Linked DNA regions of Kluyveromyces lactis. The main gene of each other region encodes a partner of the protein of the gene in region 5 in a complex. Links are inferred from orthologs where the notes say so. Each region holds a gene or a part of one and is shown on either strand. Other genes may lie near its edges.

Region 1 (3,328 bases), on a different chromosome or scaffold from region 5:
GGGAAAAACAAAAATACTTGGAAGCTAAGAAAAATGGTACCTTAACATTAAATGAAGGTCCAAATTCTGCCCCTGTTCCACTTCCTGATTACTTGCAATCTGCCGAAGATTTCGGCTTGCCCCATATTGAAAAAAGACCATATGATGAAGATGCTTCCAGTGAAAAGAAAAAGAAGAAAAAGAAGAAGGATAAGGGAAAAGACAAATCTAAGGACTAACGAGCTGGGATTTATATAATGCTTCATACATATATATGATGACACTCTTTCTTTCTTTGTAAAAATAGTTGTAACAATGTGTAATAATATACAAGAAATATAAGAATAATACATTTAATCTGTATGGGATGATCTTCACAGCACAAGCTGCTATAGGAAGCATTGTGGAGTAATTGAAGATTTTCTTTGTGGTATTGTTTCAAATTTTTCATATCACTTCACTTATTTTTATTCTTTCCCAATTGAAATTAATCTTTGATCCTTTAATTTGTAAAACACTTACGTGCAATTCAGTACATGGACCTTATTTTCGTACACACGTTGTTCAAATACTATGCCAAAATAATGAGTGGTATATTTTAATGTCAAGTCAACGTATAACTTATCTACAATGCATCTATGCAGTGCCAAATTTCTTCAAATATTCCGCCGTCAGTTTACTTCTTTGAATTACTCGGTGACAAGTTTGAAAGAATCTCATTTAGCATTGCTGATCAACTAAATCTACAGTTGAAGTAGCTATCATCTTAGATATGTAAGGTTTGTCTTTTCACCCTTTAACGAATAGATGGCTGTTGCTATACAATTAAATTGGTCATTAATTTGTGCGTATATGGCTATTTACAGTTGTTTTTGTGTGTTTTAAAAGGTTGATCAAAGCTGTTTGTGTAATAGCTCAACAAGATCCACTGTTTTCCTTGGAGCATCTTGTGGACGTTTCCACTCTTCTGGGAACTCGTACCCACGCTTTTTCTTACGCAATTGTCTTGCGATGATATGTCTTTTATCGAGAGGAACATCAGCAAAGTCGTCTTTCAAATCTTTAGCCTCCTTGAGTAATTCTAGAAGAATGCTGTTTAAGTACTTTGCATTTTGAGCTGGTTCTTCATAGCGATCAGAAGACATTCTCAAAGTATCTGTAGTAGAATCATAACGTGTTTTTGCCAATAGACGCAGCTTATGCAGTTCCCTCTGTTCCAAGCCGAGATCCGATGTCTTCACAGATAAGACAACCTTACGAGAATTTGGATGTTCTTCACCAAGATATGTTGTATAACGATAAGCTACTGGATGAGTCTTTGTTGAAGGGCGTTTATATTCTTGACGATACTGCGCAAGTAAAGGAAGTTCAAATGCTGCCAAACGATTGTAGAAACGTTGTTCACGATGTTGATGAACTAAAATTTGTGATTGTGATGGCAAATCATCAAACTGATATTGATCCAAGTTGACATGCTCGTCTAGACCTCTTGCAATGCCCATTTCTGCCTCAACTTCTTCAGGTGTCTTATGATAGTACTCTTTGAAAAGTTTTGCTGGAATTCCAGACGCTTCGGCAGTGGGTAACAATGCTTTCAACTCTTCTTCGCAAGGCTTATATAGGGGCCCTAGTCTTGCCTTTCTTTCATTGTGCAACGTTATGATATCTTTACTATCCAAACCGATCCATTTCGATGGATCCTTGTAAAGTGTTGAGGAAATGGTCGCAACTTCTTTCGTAACGGTGGAGTTTAAACGTCTACTACAAAAGAATGCAGTACGTTGCACGCTAGCACCAGTAATCATTGTTGAGTGCCTAAGATGATTACGTTATCGCAGACCTTTTAACACTTTGAATATAATTGGCTTTCTCTGGTTCCGATTGGTGTTGTATCGAGGATTATTGGTATTTCTGGTAAACTTGGAAAATTTTTTGCAGAGAAAAGGCGGAGGTCACGTGATAATAAATTTTCTATGAAAATATCTGTCAAAGTAACGGAAGATAAACAACGAAGCAACAAACAGAACAAAGTCATTAATATTGCCAAAGCTGGAAAGCAGCCTATCTTTTAACGATAGTCAACAGTGGACAAAGGTGGAATCAAGTAGATTGCTAAACCAGATCTTCACTCAGTAAAACACCACTGGTATATTATGTCAAGGAATACGCGAAGAGGCAAAGGAATAAGAGAGCAGAAAAGAGATGACGCTGGGCTACATGAACCGTCGAATATTCTAAATTCGATGCTGAAGTCTTTAGACTTGACTTTTGAGAATGACATAGGTTTACTGAACGGTAAATACGTGAGGTCGGTTCCTGAGAAACCGGTTTTGCAAACAACTAAAGATCAACTAGAAAATCTAGGAAAATGTTTGGAGAAAATTGCAGCTAGTGATCAAGAGAATTTAGACCTAATCAAGGAAATGCGGGAAGATATAATAAGGCTCGAAGATGAGAAACAAAAAGAGAAGGAGGAAGCAGAAGCTGCAACAAACCTTGCAGCCCAGAACGCAGAAAATGATTCAATTAATAAAAAACTTGATGAATCTAGCGAAGTCGTATCGGATAAAAGATCAATTACAGAAGAGAACGAGGAGACAGACAAAAGGCCACAAGATACTATTGAAGAAGCGGAAGTTTTATCATCAGATGGTCACATATCAAAGAAAGCAAAGCTAGATATTGATAAAATGGAAAATGATCCTAACATTAGAAACCCCAAGTCTGAATTTGTAGTATCTCAAACGTTACCTGCTGCTGCAATGAGATTAGGTTTGTTTCAAGAGGAGGGTCTTGAAGCTACTGGTGAGGAATATTTGAAAAAGAAATACGGGGTAGTAAGCTATCCTACAAATGACTTAAAGGAACTTCTACCCGGTGAGCTGCCTGATATGGATTTCTCGAAACCTAAACCCACAAACCAAATTCAGTTTAATACTTTTCTCTCATCCATCGAGGCCTTTTACAGAGAATTCAATGATGACGATATCAAATTCCTTCAAAACAAATTCATCATGCCACAAAATTTGCAGTTTGTGAAATCTTATGACCCCGAAGTGACTCCATACACAATTCCTAAATTAGGACCACTATACACAGACGTGTGGTTGAAAGAAGACAATAATCAAAACATTGCGAATCTGACTCCTCCACCTATCAGTGATCCTATTAGTATCTTGCCTAAGAAATCAGGGAATGACATTTCGGATGGTGTACTTGACAATGAAGAAGTGTCTTGTGGCCCGCTAGTCTCAAGGCTTTTGAGTGCTATACTGAAGGATGATGATATTATAGCTCCTAAGGAAGAATTACCGACAAACCCCACACTCGATTCATCAGTATCAACACC
Region 2 (3,012 bases), on a different chromosome or scaffold from region 5:
GGACTTCAACCAAGTGCAAAGTTATATCCGTGATAATAACGTACCTTACAATGAATTGCTAGATCTAGGATACCGGTCGATTGGTGATTATCACTCTACACAACCTGTTCAAGAAGGTGAGGATGAGAGATCAGGCAGGTGGAAGGGTAAGGCAAAGACGGAATGTGGGATTCACGAGACAAGCAGATTTGCACAATATCTCAAACAAAGAGAATGATATGTGTTTGATATATATATATATATATATATCTTTTCTGTTGTATACTGTGCATGCGGCATCTCTTATCTAGCTTTATTTATGGTTTCAGTTTAGATACACAACGTGACATTTTTAGTCACTTAATGTACATATTATATATGTTGCGACTAAGGTGGAAAGTGTATGAACAGTTGCGAACCTTACCCATGCAACTTGGAAGAGAAACCCCCAGCTTGAATCTCTCATCAATTCTCATGACTGTCAAAGCCTAAAGTTTTTGGGCTGATTCACACTATGATAACCGGGAAAAAATGAATCAAAGGTTCTGAAAACATGCGTCCGGACAGATACGAAAAGCAACATAAACCAAAGAGAGAAACTTATATAACTCTGTATGATAGGAGTCAAGTAGCTCATTATTCCAGGATGATTAACATATTGAATCATAGAACATAGCTGACACTAACAAGCAAGGATGTCGTTGTCTAAATTACCTTTCGTAAAGCACAAGAAGAGTTTACCAGATGATGAGCTCATCAAGGTCTTATTTGTAAACCCTAATTCAACCCAAGCAATGACCGATGCCTGTTTAAAGATATTGGCTGGTCATGTAGCTCCAGACACTGTGGTTTACGGGTACACTGCACCATTTGGTAAGGCACCCAATGTGATTGAGGGTCATCTCGATGGTATTCAATCTGCAATTGCCGTTATGGAAGATGCTTACGATGTAATAAACCAAGTCGATTGTGTACTTGTTGGATGTTTTAGCGACCATCCATTGATAAAATCTATCAGGGAAGAATTTGATGATGTTGTGTGCATGGGTATCGTGGAAGCAGCCGTGTACTCATCCAGGATCATTGGATCAAAATTCGGTATTCTTGCATCAATTTACAAGGCTCAGTTAAGAGATGAGGAAACCATAGCAGGTCTTGGCATGTCCACATTTTGCGTTGGATTGTTAAGTTCTGGTATCAAAACCGTATCGGATTTGGTCAAAGTGGAAGAAGCTGAGCTTCATAAAACAATGTCTAAAACTGCCTTGACCTTAGTAGAAGAATATCACGCAGACACCATCATCTTGGGCTGTGCAGGGATGAGCGACTTGAAAAATGCTGTTGCAAACGCTTTACAGCAGAATGGCTATGAAGTGCCAATTATTGACGGAGTGGTATGCGGGATCAACATTGTTTCGGCTGTCTACAGAAGTGGATTACACGGTACATCCAAACAAGGAGCTTATTCAAGTGCTAGAAAGGCAAGAGAACTAAGAGGTGATACAGTTGAAATCAAGAAGTCATGATACTGGGAGTCCATTGGCATGGTGCTGTGTTCATTCCATTCCTTATATAACGTGTATAGTGCCAATATAGTCAGGTGACCTCCATCAAGAACGTTTAACATGATATGAACTTCAAGCTTTGAAAGAGAAAAAAACGAGTTTGGAGCTTCTCCGGAAGATGAAGAATAAAGTTCAAGCATTAGTGGATGCATTCTTTGGTTTTCGGCGTATTCAGTATCTGTGAGACTAATTTCGATAGTTATCCTAGCAATTAGTATATCCAAAGGAAGGCTGTAGATATAAACAACATGGGTGGTTTCAGATTTCCAATCAAGACAAAGCTTCCTTCAACGTATTTGAATGCTAGAGTTATCAGAGACAATTTCAAGAGACAGCAAGTTGCAGACAATGAAGTCACTGTAAAGGCATTGAAATTCATTGCTAGAAATACTACTCTACCTCCAAGGTCGAGAATGGAAGCTCAGTTACAACTTTCTGTGATGCCTAACTATACAAGAATGACACAAATCAAGAACAGATGTATTGAAACGGGACACTCCAGATCTGTTCTGAGTGATTTCAGATTGTGTAGATCGCAATTCAGAGAACTTGCCAGGAAAGGTGATCTACCTGGTGTGAAGAAGGGTGTATGGTAGATGCAGTTTAGCATCTTTTGTTCCCTGATACTGAGGTTAGTAAAAGTTGGAATCTTTCTCTCCCGCATGCATGTAAATATTTTTAATTAACTCAACATATATAAAGCTTGTGTATAGACATTAAAAAATACAAGGTTTAATCAATGTAAAAGAAGCGCTTGGGTTGTGGCAAAGCAAGTGACATTTATAAGATGAGAAAGTGCAGTATAGTGGTGATAATATTTAAGTTTCTTACAAAATAAAAGAGTGTAGGTATATAAAAATAATTTATAGGTAGAAACACACAAAACAGAAGAGAGGTAGAAGAGAAAATGTCAGGGAGGGATGGTCACTTGAAACCAGATGGAAACAAAGAAAAGAACGAGGAGAAAAAATTAGGAAATTCAACGGAAATTAATTGCTGACATTTGTATATTAAAAATTGATCAATTAGAAACAAATGAATATGGTTTGTTCGTCTTCCCTCTTCTTTTTTTTTGGATCTTTACTTCTGCCAATTAACGGTTGTAAACAATTCCCATCGCCTAATAATAATATCCTCAAAGCTCAGTCCTCTGTTTCAAGGTAAATTCAAATGAAGTTGGAGATAAGGGGGTGAAGAGTGGGTTTGGGGCGTGCGTGTCTTTATTTACAAGACGACACACTTCTTTTTTTTGCTAGACTTAGTCTTAGGTTTGCTCTTACCTTGTTTACCGACCAAAGAAGCTCTTGTAGCAGCCTCGAAGACTTCTCTGACACCGTAACCGGTCTTGGCAGAACATTCGATGTAGTCAACAGCACCGATTTGGTCAGCGACTTCTTGTGCTTGAGCCTGAGACACAGGTTGTAATCCTTGAGCTCTTAGTTCTTCAACAACTTGAGGATCATTTCTC
Region 3 (3,516 bases), on a different chromosome or scaffold from region 5:
CCGTGAATTGCTACCCGACACACTATATGATAGTTTATGGGTACAGTAGAATTTACAATTTTGACCAATCAACCAAACTACGATCCCAGATCAATCATGAGTATGCTTTCGCATTGATAAAATTTAAACAGCGAAGAGCAGACAGCTTTGTTCAACGTCTGTTTGTCATTACAAAAAGTATATTCGCAACAAGTACTTCTCAAATCCGGCAGATAACACTGAAAAAAATACCTAGATAATAATATTCGGGTAACAATGAAAGTTTAAAGTGACGGAGAAGAGGAATGTGTAACGTTCTGGAATCGGAACGGTCATTTCTGGTATCTGTCGAGCATTTTATTTTTCATGCGAGGAAGAAGATCTGGCTAGAACCATTACTTCTTGTCAGAGAACGAAAACGCTGCATTAGAGAAAATATTAAGAGAATGCTACTGCACGTATTGGCAGGAAAAATAAGAGGAAAAGAAAACTTGCAAGGCCAGGTGGTTTCCTTTCTTACCATATGTATATCACTGCTGGGTAGCGTTAGTAAATGCATTAGTTTGTCAATCTACCTGCGGCATGGAATTTTCACATGACGCACAAGTAAATCACTATTGATGTCGCATTGCCACTAGGGATTGGTTCCAGAAAACATAACTTCTTCCGAATTGATTTCAGATTCTACCTCCATCCATGTGAACGAGTATTTCGTTCCAATATTTTTATATAAATTAACGAGTAACTTATATGGTAATCTTGTCAGATAAGTGGAGTTGATTTCATTTGGAAAGAGAACCAACAGGATTGGTATGTCTCATATGAATTTATTCTCGGACCAAAATTGAGAAAGAAAACATCTGCAGTTTTTCAAAAATTCAGGCATTTTGGGATTACTCTCTCTTCATGCAGGGCAAGACACCAGATCATCTTTATTCTATTGGTCTTCATGTTCCTGCATAACTAAATACTATTTGTATTTAGTTCATTATTTCCTGTAGATAAAGAATCTTTCTAAATGGGTTTTAAAACATAGTAAAATATATACCTAAAAGAAGAGTCTTCGTGATATGAATGTTTCATCTTTAAGGTACTGAAAGGATATGGTACTAATATTGATTCTAATGACAACAAAGCCCGTGTATAACATTGCCAGCTGAAACATGTTGCTCCACTATGTATCAGAAGAATATGTAGTGTTTTGAAAAAAGATCTTCTCTGGAAATTGTATATAGCGATACTAAACCACTAATATAGATGTTTTAGTGACCGGCTTTATTAAAGCAGGTAAGTCGTTGTTTAAGCGACAGAGCTCAATATTGGATGAAACAGACTCAGAAATGAAACAAAAAAACATGTTACCCGGATAGCATTCCATATGATAGTGTCATCTACCATGTAAGGGTAAAGATGCGTGGAACATACCTGAAACATACTCCATGTATCCTCCTTTGAACGTCTGAAGAAGATTTTAAAGATGTGCAACCACTGCTAATCTTACCATACCTTAGTGGGTGGATCTTCAGCTAAGAATTGTGAATTTCTAATCACATGATCAAGAATAATGCTCTCTCATTTGTAACGATTGATCGATTTTCAAAAATTAAAAAAATTTCAATAGTTAATACAGAATGGCAACATACTCAGACATATACACCAGAATAAGGTCTAATATAATTGACACCAGAAGTCTTTTGAAGCAGGTTTAGACAGGTCGAGGAGCAAAATTCAACATAGTGAGTTGCAGCGTCTTTCTCAATAACCCTGATCGTATTTGAGAATGTTCGTCCGTTGTTTCTCGAGCACTGCTCGTGTATTTCAACAAGACCTGTTGAAGAAATACTACTCTCCAGAACTACTCAAGTCTATTTCCTTAGCTGATAAAGTAATTCCTGACAATGTAGAGTTCAAACCACAGACAAATGTTGAATTCTCACCACCATATTTGGATAACTTTGCCACATTACATCCTTATTGGGATTATAAACCAAACTCTCCACATCTACATTCAAGCTCATCTTCGGTATTCGTTCAAGAGATGGAAAAGCATCCAGATTTGACTCCTCCTGTGGGTTCATACTTACAAACTGAAGGCAGATCAGATATACAAAACATTGCCAATAATATCCAACTACAGACGGGGTTCGATGCTCAACATATCGCCAGAAAACTAGTGATGAAACCATTGATCTTAAAGATGGTTTCTAATCAAACTGCAAAAGGTAAAATTCCATCCTTCTATTCTCTTGTGGTTGTTGGTGATAAGAATGGTATGGTAGGAATCGGTGAGGGTAAATCCCGTGAAGATATGGCAGAATCCATCAAGAAAGCTCATTGGGATGCAGTGAGGAACTTAAAAGAAGTGCCTAGATTTGAAAAAAGAACTATTTTTGAAGACATAGACTATAGATACCACGGTGTGAAACTATTCTTGAGAGCTGCTAAGCCAGGTTTCGGTCTAAGAGTCAATCACGTAATTTATGAAATTTGTGAATGTGCTGGTATCAAAGATTTAAGTGCAAAAGTTTACAAGAGTAGAAATATCATGAACATAGCCAAGGGTACTATAGACGCTATCACCAAGTCTCAAAAATCTATAGATGAAATTGCTCTAGGTAGAGGTAAGAAAATTGTGGATGTCAAGAAGGTATATTACTCTGCTTGATTTCAACCAACTCCATATTTAAATTACTTTCACTTTTTCTCCTATGAAGAAACTATCTGAACAACCTTCACATGATTCAATTACGACCTAGATGATCATTCTCATAAAACAATCAATACTCAGATCTACGTAACCTTGTACATATTAATATCCCCACAACGTCGGAGTTCCAAATTCTTCTTCACGTGACTTTTAGAATATTTCACACTTTTCTGATCTTTAAAAGATTGGAAAATGAAGATGATGAAAGCAGATGAGTAGTATATCTAATCGCGTATAAACATGATTAGAAAAGCTTTAACTTCTTTGCTGTTACTAATTGTTCAAACGCATTTCAATTCTTAGCGGAAGCTACTAGTATCACACAATTAGCAAAGCATATGTTTCGCTTCATTGTGGCTAGGCCATTCACTGTACCAAAGGTAAGGCCGGTAAGACGACTTTATAGCACGGTCAGGACATCGACTGTTGACTGGAAACCTATCAAAACAAAGAAGACACCTACTGAAGGATTTCAAAAGAAGGAATCACGATGGGGTAAGCGTATTTTTCTAGGACTGATGATTGCCATGCCCGTGATCTCGTTCTACTTAGGAACCTGGCAATTAAGAAGATTGAAATGGAAAACCAATCTAATTGCTTCCTGCGAAGACAAATTAACCTACGATCCTATTCCGTTACCTAAAACGTTTACACCGGATATGTGCGAAGACTGGGAATACCGCAAGTGTACTATGACCGGTAGATTCTTGCATGATGAAGAGATTTTTGTCGGCCCCCGTGTTAGAGGAGGGATCAAGGGGTACGTTTTATATACGCCTTTCATCAGAAAGGATACGGGAGAAAGAATTTTGATTGAACGTGGTTGGATC
Region 4 (2,889 bases), on a different chromosome or scaffold from region 5:
CCATAGCCCTGGCCTCCTTTGATTTTTCCACTTGGTCTATTTCATTCAATTGAGAAAGAGCATTACTCTGGCCAAACGCTAAATAGAATGGATATGACATTACAAGGATCTTAAACAAAGATGCTTGCACAATAGATTGCGCAGTGATTTGAGATAGATCAACAGTAATGGTAAAATCGTAACCGGCCTCCTTTTTAGCAGATGATAGAGCCAAACCTGGTACTTCATCGAATTTTGCCTGCAAGAACCCTTGTAAATCGTTCCCACTCTCATTACAAGATTGCGTAGCCTTGGTTCTGATGGAAACTAATAGGTTCGACTTATCAGTGCCATCGTTGGTGATGTGTAACGTTGTATAATCAAAGTCGGAGATGATTCTGTCCAAAGTTAAAGGAGACCCATTGTTGTAAGCTTCCAAAGCTTCTGTTAATGTCTTTTGGACCAATAGGTTGTATGGTTTAAGGTGTAACATTATTATGTATTGATATTAGAAGGCTCACAAGTGTTCACCCAGGCTTTTTTTTCGAACAAGTCTATGAGCTTTTCTTCAATTGACTTGGAACAATATCAACTTGTAAGTTTCCTCAACACTGAGCAGGTTTAGTCTCTTCGAAATTTCCCAATTCCTTGCAGATGATGAATCTTTCTTTCTGTTTGTTCCAATAGGGGCACCTTTTCGTTGAAATCGTTGTTAACTAAATTTTCAGCACTTTTCTATGATGGAAAAACCATCCGAACAAAATTTCGGTCACGTGGCCATAAAGATTGAGCAACCAGTAGATAGATTATTCGCATATTTACATGAAGGTCTAGTTTATAAACATAAGTATATATTTTATGTTGATAATTCAGAATATAATACTGTTGGTATCTTACTCCTTTGTTGGTTTCTTCACACCGTACTTCGATCTGGAGCTGATTCTGTTGACAACACCGGCCAAATCACCGGCACCACGGACAACATGATATTTCACACCAGGTAAATCTTGGCAACGGCCTCCACGAACATATACAATACTGTGCTCTTGTGCGTTATGGCCTTCGCCTGGGATATATGCAGAAACAATGTTACCATTGGTTAATCTCACTCTACAAGCTTTTCTCTGAGCAGAATTAGGTTTCTTTGGCTTCAATACCATCACTCTTAGCACAACTCCTTTACGAATCGGGCATACCTCCAAATCTGGGGATTCAGTGATCTTCTTACGGCCAGGAGGCTTGACCCCTCTCTTTATTTGGTTCAACGTGGCTTGTATTGGTGAAGTATATGAGAAAGAACGTTGTTGCAGTGGTGGTGCAAATGCTATGCTTGAACGAACATTACGCAACGATAGTCTAGTCAGACTACTGCTCAATCCGAAAACCTGTTTGAACATTGGTATCTTTGACAGGATTGTTTCTTAAGATCCAGTGCACGTAAGTCAAACTCAGAGTTGAACTTACGCCAACATTTATTCACTGACCGATTGATATAACTCTTTCAATTCAACATTTGCTTCATAATTTTTTGTCAGTTTCTGATGATGAAAAATCATAGTTGAAAATATTCGGAAGTCATGTGATCGAATATGTGTTGTTGCTGATGTCCGGGAAATTGTTCAGAAAATGTGCATGGTTTGAGAGATCTTTTAACCTAAAAGATTTTGTTCATTTCGTTGGGAACACCAGCTGCACTATGCGGGTTCCGAATTACGAGAAAAGTCCTTACTGAGGTAGTTGTTGTATTTCCTATTTTGAAATATCAAACAACTATACTGGATTATGGACGATCAAGCTGTAAGGTGGGTGCAGGTAAATAGGGTGTTTGAACCAACTACTTGAATTATGCGTGATAGAATATTGCGGGGTAGTTTGACTTCCGGGCTCGAGTAATTAGGTAGGCTGGTGTTAAAGCGACTGTCTATTTTTTTAGTTTTTGTATCACGTGCATAAGATCAGATAGTTTTCTCTCCTGGTGTCTGCTGCCGAGTAACAGCCGTTCCGTCACTATTTGGCAAAATGCGTCAAGATAGCCCCATATACGGTAGTTAACGATAGCAATGGCTTATATACACCTCCATATCACGCTAGCATGTGGTAATGAAACACTAGTGAGATTTTGACGGTTTCCTATATGAAGAGGGTAGTGTTGAAGCACTATTGCGGAATGTATAGAAAAAAAAAAAAAAAAAAAAAAAAAAAAAAACAGTAGGTACACTTTAAAGGAAAATAAATCTAGTTATAATAAAGTCTAGTGAATATACAAGGGTTTGGCTCTTTTTTTTGGCTCGTTGATGCATCCGCCACACACGAGAGAAGTGTTTTCAATTGGCATTCTTGAACCTTTCTTATATGTCTGGGGTATTCGGTTATAAGATATTGTGAGGCTAATTCTTGTGTTACCATTTGTGTTAAGTTGAACACGATTGTGATTATAGCCAACCCGAGATGGGTAAAACCCAGTCATTCATTCACCTAAGGCCAGCTGATCTTCTACAAAAGACAGCTGGCAGATCGACTCTACAAACTACAGCGGCAAGCCATGCTGCTTCGAAAGAAACAAAACCTCATATGTTAAGGGTTCATTTGAACAAATATCCTGGTTTCATCGGGCATGCGACTTCAAGGATTAATAGACTATACAACGAGGATTCTTATTCTATGAATATTCTGAAGTTGCCAACAACTATAGCCGAAAGCTCGTTGTTAAACTCAAAAAAATCGATCGCTACTAAGATGAAACTTTGGAAAGAATTACCTCCCCAGAGAAACGTTTTGAATATTTCTATATTTGACGGTCATGGAGGAGATCGTGTCTCTAAGATGCTGGCTTCAGGTTTGCACGATCATATAACAGCTATGGTCCCCATCAGACAAGAGTTTGACGCTGTATTAAAAAAATATCAGGAC
Region 5 (3,050 bases):
CCGTTTGTGGATCAACCAAGACGTTTGAAGGTTTTATGTCTCTATGGCATATTCCTAGTGCATGTAGGTAAAGCATACCTCTAGCAATTTGGTAGGCGTATAGTTTAACGTGCTTCAACGGTAACTCCAAGTTATTCTTCTTATATCGTAAAATTTCGTTTTGTAGCATTTCGGGCAAGCATTCCATCGCCAAATGTTGGTATAATTTATGATCTGTTGGTGAGATATGAGTGTAGAAATATTCCAATTTGACAACATTTGGATGGTCCGCAATTCGTAAAATCTCTAACTCTCTAGATTTATACTCAGTCTGAGCAGGAACCTTCTTAATGGCAAAAGGACCCAACCACTTCTGATTATCCGGTGTTAGGTAAGCTTGCACCACCGTGCCAAATGCACCTTGCCCAATTCGCTTATATTCCTTTACGAGCATTTCTCGCTTGACATTGGATTTATTACTGATGACATCATGAGCCACGTATTCATCTAATCTTTGCATAGACATGGCGAATCGCAATAAGGGGAAAGAAGACAGATAGTAACAGATACAAAAGCGATGCGATATCTATCGAATAAGAAAAAAATTACCACTTTTTGTTCGTTGTATTTCGCTCAAGTCTTCAAATTACAAACTTCAACCGTTATTTTGCAAGCAAACCTTAGAATATAGATATGTTCCTAACGGATGTAACGTGGATGGTTCAGGAAAAAAAGGGAAATATTGAATTGTAATGAATCAATAAAATCTGTATTAAATGAATTGATGAAATGAAATCGCTAATATTAATAAAAGCAACACAACAGGGGGAAAACACTCTTACTCAAGCAAGTCAATTAGTCCCTTGCAACAAGTGATGCAGCAGTGTCTATAATGTTTCTTCGCAGTAAATTCTTCGCGCTGCAATCGCTCGGCAAATTCAACAACTAGAAGTTCCCAGAACTTAAACGTTTGAGCACCCTTAGCAGTGTTGTGTCCGTTATCAGAGACCCTATTTGTTACTTTGAAACAAGGTTCTGGTTTATTTTTTGTTTGTTTTTTCCTAATTTCCTAAAACTAAAATTGATTTTCATATTCGGTTTTCCAAGAATCTGATATCAATATGACTGACTGACTACTGACTGAGTTACACAATTATTGATAAAAGCGATATAAAAGACGTTCTAATTGAGGGAACGTTCCAAACAAAATTTAATTCTAAGATCTCCCAGAGCCAGCTTTTATGAAGTTCGACTCTGAGAGTACTACACTCTCTCTAGATATGAATGCACAAACGAAGTTAAATTGGCATTTATAGCATTAATGAGGAATTACTCAGGTTCAGGTCCTATATCCTCCACCTGAACTTTCTCTTGATTGTAGCATCAAGTTGTAGAAATGGTTTGGGGAATGCGAGGTGATCTTCGCCAGTCTGCATATAATATTTCTATCAAATGTTTACCCCATCGCATCTCGGCACTCTTTATCAACGTGATATCTTCCGCCAGTGGACTGCAGGCACTTCACATTAAAGGCTAATCCTTATACACCGGGTAATGACAAGTTAGTCACGTGTTAATGCAACACCGGGTAATGGTTTATGAGCATATCTTGAAAATGAATTGGGAAAACAGAAGATATTTAGAGTTTGCATTTCATAGAGGAATACTATTCGTCTGAGTATGGAGACCTGCATTCGAGAAAGACACAGGTTGTGGTTAATATAAATCGGCGTCGAAAATACACCACGATGCTGAGAACATTAGTGAGACTGTTCAGCTCAACGGCCAGGACAAACCAAGATGTGGCTTCCATCTTATTTTCATCTGTCAAAGGATCAGAAAAGGCTCCAGTGATGGAAGACACCAATGTTGTCCAACCTAATACTCTTCGTGGTAGCAATAAGAAAGGGAGAGTCGATGAAGCAGTGATAAAATATATATTGAACTGCAGATTCACTAAGAACAATACACATTTCACATACAGTGCCGTAATGGAGGATAGAAACTTTTTGGCGAACAATCCACAATTATCCTACAACGAAAAATATCTATACTATTTGAAACTCCCACAACAGGTCAAATTTCATTTATCTACTGGTCATTTAGGGTTCCGTAAAGCTGCCCGTGGTGAATATGAAGCCTCATTCCAAACAGCAACTAAGTTATTTGAAACTCTTTATCAGAAGAAGCTACTGGATAAGAATATAGAAATTGTTATGAGAGACTTCGGTAAGGGAAGAGATGCTTTCATCAGTGCATTGAACGGTAAGGAAGGAAACCTCATCAGACGTCACATATCTAGAGTAGCCGATGCTACTGAATTGAAATTCGGTGGTGTGAAGGCCCCAAGACCAAGAAGATTGTGATTCGGTCTCTCACCATTTCATCTTTCACTAATAGTCTCTGTGTATAGACATGAATTTGGAAAATAATTCGGTATAATAACAAATAATGCATGTATATAAATTTAACGTAACGCACCAGAATTTTCGTTTAAATACATTAAGACAGCAATTCGAAGTATGATTTCACACAATTATGACATTGCTCATGCCTTATAATCTCTGGATGCTAATTTCATCGAAGATTTAAAATTTTCCGGAAAGTAGCGGGACTGTTTTGTGGATGCACGGATTTGGCTTTAGATTTTTTGTAAAAATTGTTAGGTATTTTAGTATTCCATTTTAGGTAATTAAAATTTCAATTGGAGGTTCTAAAAAAAGGAAAGGCAGAGGAGGCGTTCCGGCTGCCAGGTTCTCACCGTTCTCCTTCTGTCGCTCCGTTCGAGTCTAGTCTTCCCAGCGAGAGGACTCTGATTCTGCCCACTCTCCCCTCTACTCGCACTGACATTCTGAGGTGCGTAGGCAGGAACTGCTGTCCATCCAGCCTATCATCCATTCCTTCCCTGAGCCTGGAGCCATATCCTGTACCTGCAAATCACAGTGCGATTGTGCTACCTGGCCAGGGATACCCTGTTCGTGCTGAATATTCCTTTCGACTACGGACAGTTTCGCTTGCGACCTTGTATCTGTATTGTTTCATCAAAAGTAATATTGAACGTTTTAAAGAAT

What was found. Proteins that work in one complex are often made in the same cells at the same time.
Region 1: MRPS18 (region 5) and RSM24 share a complex: the UniProt entries of both Saccharomyces cerevisiae proteins name them as parts of the mitochondrial small ribosomal subunit. The link is inferred for Kluyveromyces lactis from reciprocal best matches to the Saccharomyces cerevisiae genes MRPS18 and RSM24.
Region 2: MRPS18 (region 5) and MRP2 share a complex: the UniProt entries of both Saccharomyces cerevisiae proteins name them as parts of the mitochondrial small ribosomal subunit. The link is inferred for Kluyveromyces lactis from reciprocal best matches to the Saccharomyces cerevisiae genes MRPS18 and MRP2.
Region 3: MRPS18 (region 5) and MRPS5 share a complex: the UniProt entries of both Saccharomyces cerevisiae proteins name them as parts of the mitochondrial small ribosomal subunit. The link is inferred for Kluyveromyces lactis from reciprocal best matches to the Saccharomyces cerevisiae genes MRPS18 and MRPS5.
Region 4: MRPS18 (region 5) and MRPS12 share a complex: the UniProt entries of both Saccharomyces cerevisiae proteins name them as parts of the mitochondrial small ribosomal subunit. The link is inferred for Kluyveromyces lactis from reciprocal best matches to the Saccharomyces cerevisiae genes MRPS18 and MRPS12.

The regions. Positions count from the first base shown.
Region 1 is NC_006040.1:1,522,618-1,525,945, forward strand, and holds RSM24 (mitochondrial 37S ribosomal protein mS35), read right to left. Parts: upstream 1,785-3,328; coding exon 873-1,784; downstream 1-872. Other genes in the region: HMO1 (Hmo1p), read left to right, coding at 1-218; histone acetyltransferase NGG1, read left to right, coding at 2,133-3,328. UniProt on the Saccharomyces cerevisiae protein: Component of the mitochondrial ribosome (mitoribosome), a dedicated translation machinery responsible for the synthesis of mitochondrial genome-encoded proteins, including at least some of the essential transmembrane subunits of the mitochondrial respiratory chain.
Region 2 is NC_006038.1:936,880-939,891, reverse strand, and holds MRP2 (mitochondrial 37S ribosomal protein uS14m), read left to right. Parts: upstream 1-1,792; coding exon 1,793-2,140; downstream 2,141-3,012. Other genes in the region: MET16 (phosphoadenylyl-sulfate reductase (thioredoxin)), read left to right, coding at 1-217; DCG1 (Dcg1p), read left to right, coding at 675-1,505; Rho family GTPase RHO1, read right to left, coding at 2,769-3,012. UniProt on the Saccharomyces cerevisiae protein: Component of the mitochondrial ribosome (mitoribosome), a dedicated translation machinery responsible for the synthesis of mitochondrial genome-encoded proteins, including at least some of the essential transmembrane subunits of the mitochondrial respiratory chain.
Region 3 is NC_006038.1:1,001,936-1,005,451, reverse strand, and holds MRPS5 (mitochondrial 37S ribosomal protein uS5m), read left to right. Parts: upstream 1-1,759; coding exon 1,760-2,644; downstream 2,645-3,516. Other genes in the region: cytochrome oxidase assembly protein SHY1, read left to right, coding at 3,025-3,516. UniProt on the Saccharomyces cerevisiae protein: Component of the mitochondrial ribosome (mitoribosome), a dedicated translation machinery responsible for the synthesis of mitochondrial genome-encoded proteins, including at least some of the essential transmembrane subunits of the mitochondrial respiratory chain.
Region 4 is NC_006042.1:669,697-672,585, reverse strand, and holds MRPS12 (mitochondrial 37S ribosomal protein uS12m), read right to left. Parts: upstream 1,377-2,889; coding exon 873-1,376; downstream 1-872. Other genes in the region: ARC35 (Arc35p), read right to left, coding at 1-472; type 2C protein phosphatase PTC6, read left to right, coding at 2,428-2,889. UniProt on the Saccharomyces cerevisiae protein: Component of the mitochondrial ribosome (mitoribosome), a dedicated translation machinery responsible for the synthesis of mitochondrial genome-encoded proteins, including at least some of the essential transmembrane subunits of the mitochondrial respiratory chain.
Region 5 is NC_006041.1:673,283-676,332, forward strand, and holds MRPS18 (mitochondrial 37S ribosomal protein YmS18), read left to right. Parts: upstream 1-1,727; coding exon 1,728-2,345; downstream 2,346-3,050. Other genes in the region: serine/threonine/tyrosine protein kinase MCK1, read right to left, coding at 1-505. UniProt on the Saccharomyces cerevisiae protein: Component of the mitochondrial ribosome (mitoribosome), a dedicated translation machinery responsible for the synthesis of mitochondrial genome-encoded proteins, including at least some of the essential transmembrane subunits of the mitochondrial respiratory chain.